Macaca fascicularis: one gene and its partner. The protein of the gene in region 1 purifies or fractionates together with the protein of each later gene. This does not show direct contact. Links are inferred from orthologs where the notes say so. Each region holds a gene or a part of one and is shown on either strand. Other genes may lie near its edges.

The links. The genes of interacting proteins can lie anywhere in the genome.
Region 2: the proteins of POLR2D (region 1) and RNGTT purify together in Homo sapiens (affinity purification with mass spectrometry; 3 studies listed by BioGRID and IntAct, with this or other methods). This does not show direct contact. The link is inferred for Macaca fascicularis from reciprocal best matches to the Homo sapiens genes POLR2D and RNGTT.

The regions. Positions count from the first base shown.
Region 1 is NC_088386.1:3,679,340-3,682,987, reverse strand, and holds part of POLR2D (DNA-directed RNA polymerase II subunit RPB4), read right to left. Parts: intron 2,370-3,648; coding exon 2,189-2,369; intron 1-2,188. UniProt on the Homo sapiens protein: Core component of RNA polymerase II (Pol II), a DNA-dependent RNA polymerase which synthesizes mRNA precursors and many functional non-coding RNAs using the four ribonucleoside triphosphates as substrates.
Region 2 is NC_088378.1:86,408,558-86,412,866, reverse strand, and holds the start of RNGTT (mRNA-capping enzyme), read right to left. Parts: upstream 2,935-4,309; 5' UTR 2,725-2,934; coding exon 2,661-2,724; intron 1-2,660.

The DNA.
Region 1 (3,648 bases):
ATCAAAAGAATAATCAACAGGAAAAAAGGGATCAAATGTAGCCAGTATTTAAATATAGCTAGACGGCCAGGTGTCATGGCTCGCATCTGTAATTCTAGCACTCTGAGAGGCCAAGGTGGGCTATCACTTGACGTGAGGAGTTCTAGACCAGCCTGAGCACCACGGCAAAACCCCGTCTCTACTAAAAATACAAAAATTGGCCAGGCTCAGTGGCTCATGCCTGTAATCCCAGCACTTTGGGAGGCCGAGGCGGGCAGATCACCAGCCTGGCCTGGCCAACACAGTGAAACCTCATCTCTACTAAAAATACAAAAATTAGCTGGGTGCAGTGGTGGGCGCCGGTAAACCCAGCTTACTCAGGAGGCTGAGGCAAGATCACTTGAACCCGGGAGGCAGAGGTCGCAGTGAGCCAAGATCACGCCACTGCACCCTAGCCTGGGTGACAGAACTAGACTCCATCTCAAAAAAAAAAAAAAAATCAGCCGGGTGTGGTGGTATATGTCTGTAGTCTCAGCTACATGGGAGGCTGAGGCATGAGAACTGCTTTAACCTGGGAGGCAGAGGTAGAAGTGAGCCAAGATTGCACCACTCCAATCTGAGTGATGAAGTGAGACTGTCTCAAAACAAAATGAAACAAAACAAAAAAAAGGTAGAGGAGGTCGGGCTTAGCAGCTCATGCCTGTAACCCTAGCACTTTGGGAGGAGGCCAAGGCAGGAGGATCACTCGAGTCCAGAAGTTCAAGACGTCTCAGCCTGGGCAACATAGTGAGACCCTGTCTCTAAAATAAATGAATAAATACAGAAAATAAAAATAGCTAGGGGAGAAGACTTGAACTGTTCCTAATACATAGAAATGATCAACACCCTAAACACCCTAACATACTCATTACACATTCTAAGTAACAAAATATCACGTGTACCTCACACATATGTACAAATACTGTTATCAAAAAAAATTATATATATACACATATATATATAGGCTGGACATGGTGGCTTACTTCTAATTCAAGCGCTTTTTTTTTTTTTTTTTTGAGATCGAGTCTTTTTTTTTTTTAAGATGGAGTCTCACTCTGCCACCCAGGCTGGAGTGCAGTGGCACGATCTTGGCTCACTACTACCTCCACCTCCCAGGTTCAAGCAATTATCCTTTCTCAGGCTCCCAAGTAGCTGGGACTACAGGTGTGCGCTACCACGCCCAGCTAATTTTTGTATTTTTAGTACAGATGAGATTTCACCATTTTGGTCAGGCTGGTCTCGAATTCCTGACCTCAAGTGATCTGCCCATCTCGGTCTCCCAAAGTGCTGGAATTACAGGCGTGAGTCACCGCACCCGGCCAATCCCAGCATTTTGGGGGGCTAAGGTGGGAGATCAATTGAGGCCAGGAGTTTGAGACCAGCCTAGGCAACACAGTAAGTCTCCCCATCGCTACAAAAAAATAACGAAAAAACCTTACTTCCCCACTAACAGTACCATTTGGATCACACATACTGGACTTATATAAAATACGACAGAGTCATATTTGAATCTGTTCCCAGACTGGAGTAAAGTGGTACAATCACAGTTCACTAAAGCCTAACCTCCCGGGCTCACATGATCCTCCCACTTCAGCCTCCCAAGTAACTAGGACCACAGGTACCTGCCACTACACCTGGCTAATTTTTGTATTTTTTTTGTAGGGACAGGAGTTTCACCATGTTGCCCATGCTGGTCTTGAACTTCTGGCCTCAAGAGACTGGTCCACCTCAGCCCCGCAAAGTGTGGATTATAGGTGTAAGCCACCACACTTGGCTGAAATTTTGGTCTTCTAAGTTACCCAGGCTGGAGTTCAGTGGCGCAATCTCGGCTCACTGCAACCTTGGCCTGCAGGTGCAAGCGATTCTCCCACCTCAGCCTCCTGAGTAGCTGGGATTCATGGTGTATACCATCACACCCAGCTAATTTTTGCATTTTTAGTAGAGACAGGTTTTTGCTATGTTGACCAGGCTGGTCTTGAACATCTGGCCTCAAGTGATCTGCTGCCTCAATGTCCCAAAGTGCTAGGAGCATAGGTGTGAGTCGCCATGCCCAGCCCAACATTATTTTACTTAAATTCACAGGTGACACCTGGGAAAGGGGGAGGGGACAGCAGTCCACATGCAGTTGTCCAACGGTTTGGATTAATAAAAACTTTCTTTCAGCACTCACCTACGAACACTGGCAATGGTCTCTCTGTTTTTGAAACGACTGAAACGGGCTGTGTAGTTTAATGTTTTCATGAAGACTTCTGAGAGTTCCTGTTCATCCTCTGCACTCTCATTCTGTTGCTTTCGATGTTCCAGAAGCATATGAACTTCTGAATTTAGAAGTGTCTCAGCTGTTTCAAACTCTATTTGTGAGAAGCATAAATGGCAGCTGAAAATACTCCTTCAAAAGTTTGCTTCTAAATGTTCATTGTGCATCTGAATGCACAATGATCTCCCTGCAGAGATGCAGGGGTTTCCTACCCCACATCTACTTTTTTTCGAACTGTTATTTTAGGTTCAGGGTACATGTGCAGGTCTGTAATACAGGGGAAATGGGTGTTGTGAGGGTTTGGTGAACAGACCATTTTGTCATCCAAGTGATAAGCATAGTACTGACAGGTAGTTTTTCAATCCGCACCATCCACCCCCTCAACTAGGCCTCAGTGTCTGTCGTTCCCTTCTGTCCATATGTATTCAAGGTTTAACTCCCACTTATAAGAATGTGAGGTACTTGGATTTTTGTTCCTGTGTTAATTGCTTAAGTGAATGCCTCCAGCTCCATCCATGTTGCTACAAAAGACATGATTTCGTTCTTTTATTTTTTTTTTTGAAACAGGGTCTCAATCTGTCACCCAGGCTGGAGTGTAGTGGCATGAATACAGTTCACACTAGCCTTGACCTCCCTGAGCTCAGGTGACCCCCCACCCCCACCCCAGCCTGCCAGGTAGCTGGACTGCAGGCACGCGCCACCACGCCCTGTATGATTTTGGTAGAGACGGGGGTTTCGCCGTGCTGCCAAGGCTGGGATCTCGTTCTTTTTTATGGCTGTAGCTACTCACATCTTTACATTCACCCACTGTTACATATCACAAGGCAAAGTGGAGTTCACGAGACACTAACATTTAGCTTGTCTGAACTAGATTATGACACCAAAAACCTGACCTAGACATGCTACTAAGTAGTGACACATATAGACTAGTTACTGATTTCAAGAGTACACTGACAATTACTGCCCTCTAGCCTGCATCAGCTCATCATCTTCCTACTTCGATAATGCTAGTATTATACTCTCAATTTTAAGAATTGTTACGTGTTAAAAAGAGCCAAATGTCTAGAAATAAACATTAATAATGTACCCCCAAATCTATTTTTGTACCCACACAAATGTTATAAGCAATTTTTAAGAATTAGGTTTGAGAGAAAAAGAAACCCATGGCCCCTTTTCATAATATATGGCTACCTTCTACACTTCTAGAATAGTTCTGTTAAAAAATGCTGTTACCCCTTGGGAAAATCACTCTCTCCCTTATGTTCCTGCAGGATCTTATGTTCCTGATGTTTATCTCAAAGTATTAGAGATCGTTTTTATCTGCCCTTCTCTTAACAGTGAATTCCCCTAGAGCAGGAACCATTCATAAACAT
Region 2 (4,309 bases), on another chromosome or scaffold:
GAAATCTATTAACTCAGAAGGAGGAAAAAACAATTCTCCAGAAAATAAAGCTTGGCCCTGTCTCCAAGAGCTCTCTCTCATTGCAAGTCTGGTTTCATTAGAGAAGGTGACTTCACAGGAGAACATATTATATGTAGTTAGTACCATTTTCTTTCTGATTCAGGAAAATTATGAACTTCTAGTACTAGTAAAGTGAATCCTAATATTTGCAACATATAAGTTTGAACTGCCATAACATTTTCCTCAATATGCAAAATATCAAAGAAATTACTGTGATGGTTAATACTGAGTGTCAACTTGATTGAATTGAAGGATGCAAAGTATTGATTCTGGGTGTAGGGGGCGTTGCCAAAGGAGATTAACATTTGAGTCAGTGGGCTGGGAAAGGCAAACCCACCCTTAATCTGGGTGGGCACTATCTAATCAGCTGTCAGCACAGCTAGAATATAAAGCAGGCAGAAAAAAAATGTGAAAAGACTTGACTGGCCTAGCCTCCCAGCCTACATCTTTGTCCTGTACAGGATGCTTCCTGCCCTCAAACACTGGATTCCAAGTTCTTCAGTTTTGGGACTCAGACTGGCTCTCCTTGCTCCTCAGTTTGCTGACAACCTATTGTGGGACCTTGTGATTGTGTGAGTTAATAGTTAATAAACTCCCCTTTACGTGTGTGTGTGTGTATATATATATCCTATTAGTTCTGTCCCTGTAGAGAACCCTTACTAATAAATTACACGATTAAGTACAAATTACTTTTTTTTGAGATGGAGTTTCACTCTGTCACCCAGGCTGGAGTGCAGTGGTGCAGTCTCGGCTCACTGCAACCACCGCCTCCCGGGTTCAAGTGATTCCCCTGCCTCAGTCTCCCGAGTAGCTGGGATTACAGGCACACACCACCACGCCATCATAGCTTTTTGGCTATTCATATATCTTATTTTGTGAAGTGTCCAAATTTTTTGCGAGTTTTTAAGTCCTTTGAATTTATTCTGTATAATACATTGATGGTGGGGCTATCAAGTGTTACCGCTTTGGAAAAGAGGTTGGCAGTTTCTTAAAATTCTTAAAACATACACCTATTATATGATGCAGCCATTCCTCTCCTAGAGATTTACACAAAAGGAATGAAAGTATATGTCCATACAAAGAATTGTACATAAATGTTCACAGCAGGTTTATTTGTAATAGCTAAAAACTGGAAACAACCCAAATGACCATCAATAGATGAAGAGGTAAACAAATTGTGGTATACCCAGAACAATGGACTACTACACTGCAATAAAAAAGGAATAAACTATTGATACATGCATAATCTGGATGAGTATCAAAATAATTATGCTTAGTGAAAAAAGCCACACACACTTCCTTCCACCCCAAGCAGAGTACTCACTATATGTTTCCAATTATTTAAAAATTTCTAGAAAATGCAAACTATAATTACAGAAAGCAGATCAGCAGTTGCCAGGCAAAGAAGAGATTTAAAAAGGGACAGGAGGAAACTTTGAGGGGTGATGGTTTCATGGTTGTTTCCTAGGAAAGAGATGTATTTGTGTATATATAGTCAAAATTTATCAAACTGTACACTTTAAAGCCTATTGTATTCAAGCTCAATAAAGATGAAAAAAACTACAAGAAAAATGATTTAAAGAAACAAAAACCAGACCAAGCAGGGTGGCTCTCGCCTATAATCCCAACACTTTGGGAGGCCGAAGTGGGAGCATCGCTTGAGTCCACGAGTTCAAGAGCAGCCTCGGCAACATAGTGAAACTGTCTCCACAAGAAATAAACAAAAAAATTATGGCTGGGCGTGCTGGCTCACGGCTGTAATCCCAGCACTTTGGGAAGCCGAGGCGGGCGGATCACTTGAGGACAGGAGTTGGAGACCGGCCTGGCCAACATGGTGAAACCCCGTCTCTACTAAAAACACAAAAATTAGCCAGGTGTTGTGGCACGCACCTGTAATCCCACCTACTTGGAAGGCTAAGGCAGGGAGCCGATATCACGCCACTGCATTCCAGCCCGGGCGGCAGAGAGAGACTATGTCTCAAATATATATATTATAAATGTGTATATATATATTAAATAAACAAAAAAAGTAGCCGGGTGCGATGGCAGGAGCCTGTAGTCCCGGCTACTTGGGAGGCTGAGGTGGGAGGATCGCCAGCCTCAGCGAGAGACCCTGTTTCACAAAAAAAAATAAAAACAAAAAACTAACAAAAACACCCTCCAGATTCCCAGTCTCAATGTGACCCCATTTCACCGCTGGGAACCGCCCCTTCCCTCCTTATCCTCCTCCATCTCAAGACTGACACTCATCCCTTCTAATTCGAGGGGAAGGTTGAACCCTAAAAGGTTCACAAACTACTAAGACTCAAAGTACGCCCACTGTATTCCTGGATCCTCACCTCCTGCCACCAACCTACTGTCTACCTTCACATTCGCACAGTTAGCCTGGCAGGAATAGTGACAAGTGCCCCCCATCCGCCGACCATCCCCTCCCGTTCATGTTCCCAAACATTCGTCCACGAAGCGTAATCAGATGGAGCATATCCCACTCCTGAAATACCACTAACGGGCACAGAACCACCAAAAGCTGAGCTCCTCAGTCGGCCCACCCCCGGGCACGCTGGAGTGTGGGGATTCGAATACCCCCCAGTCCAGGTTACCTGCCACCGGCTGGCCGCGCCGGGGACAGTTCAGCCACCGCGGCGGGATCTTGTTGTGAGCCATGTCTTGGGGGCTGCGCAGAGCTGCCCTCCCTCACCAACGTTCGCCGCGCCTTTGCAGCCGCCTCCCCGTGGTCCGGTGCGCACCGGGGTCCGAGACACCCGAATCGCAGCAGTAATCCGAATTCCAGCCGCTCAAATCCGGGTAACGTCAGGGGCAGCGCGCCACTTTCATTCAGGATCAACTCCACCGCTCCAGGAGAACCCACAATGCACTGCAACTTCCGCCCCCGAAGGCCCCGCCCCCTTCTTTCCGAGGTCAGAGGGAAAGAAGAGGAAGCTCTGCGGAAGGATAGCAAAGAGTTAAGGCGGCGACGAATGGGAGGAGCGGTCCGTCTCTCGCCCCGCTCGGCCCCGCCCCTCCCGGTCGCGGTCCCCGGACGCGCACTTGCGCTCCTGGTTTGCCTTTGCATATGTGCAATTGCGTTTGTACCGAACTCCGCAGGACGAAGCGTGTATTTTTTTCCAATCTAGACAACCTAGAGAAACCCAAAAAAGAGGGAAGCCAAGCCCCTTTCCATGCGTTGATTGCCCGTCACTTCCATTAAGGCATCTGTTTTACTGATGAAGGAGGCCTTCTGAGCGTTACCACAGCGCAAGCTTGGCGTCCCAGCTGGATCTAGGTTTGATTTGGTATTAGGGAAAGTTGTTCAAGGGAATAAGTCTTAGGAGAATTCTAAGGGCGTGAGATTGGAGTACCAGAAATGGGGAATTTTTCTTACGGTGAGTACTTACGAGGATCTATGAAGCGTCTGAAATTAATTCCAGAACACTTAGAGTTTTGTTTGTACATTTCTTTATCAAAGTTTCAAAGCATACTGGGGAGTTTGAGAAGGTCCATGTCTCCAAAAAAGTTACTAAATAATGTGTATAATTGACAAAGGCAGGAGTTGCTCAGTGGAGAACCGTTTCGTGGCGGTGTTCTCCTCTGCCTACCAAATAAACAGTCCCTTTTATTTTCCCTTCGAGTTAAGCAGAGGTGCTTGGAAGCATTTTATGAATGCCGTCCTTTAACGAGCCTTTCCTTTGTTACCAGATTAAATTAGTGTTAAATATAAAGCTGGATGATGGCAAATCAATTATAAAGTAGTTTGGCTTTAAACACCAATGCTGTATTGGAACTGCAAGAGCATAAGGCTGCAGGGAATACATTTTTAAAGCTTCGATGGGGAACTTTCTGGGAAACTCAACCCCTTGAATGCCTGGACCCCCTCAGTAAGAGTCCCATCAGTAGAGACAGTCTGACAGCCATCTCTCTGAGGCAGCCTGAGTTAGGTCACACTTCTGGTCTGTCCTGCTGTTGCGTCTGCTCAGAACTGTTAGTGAAAGTGTCAACTCCTCCCCTGACAGAACAAGATAATACCCAGTTTGTTTTAAGGCCATCAGTCTACCCAAATAATCTCCTATTAATTCCCTTTTCTGCTGATAGAGTGTGTACCATGCCCAAAATGGTAAAAAAATAAAACCTTCCATCCCCAGCCCCCTTCAAGGATGGGAAAGGTGAGCCTGATCCTGGAAGAGTATCTTACCTTCCCCTTCTGGGGATGACTCCCCTTGGAGACTCCCCTTCCCACACACACTGTATCTAC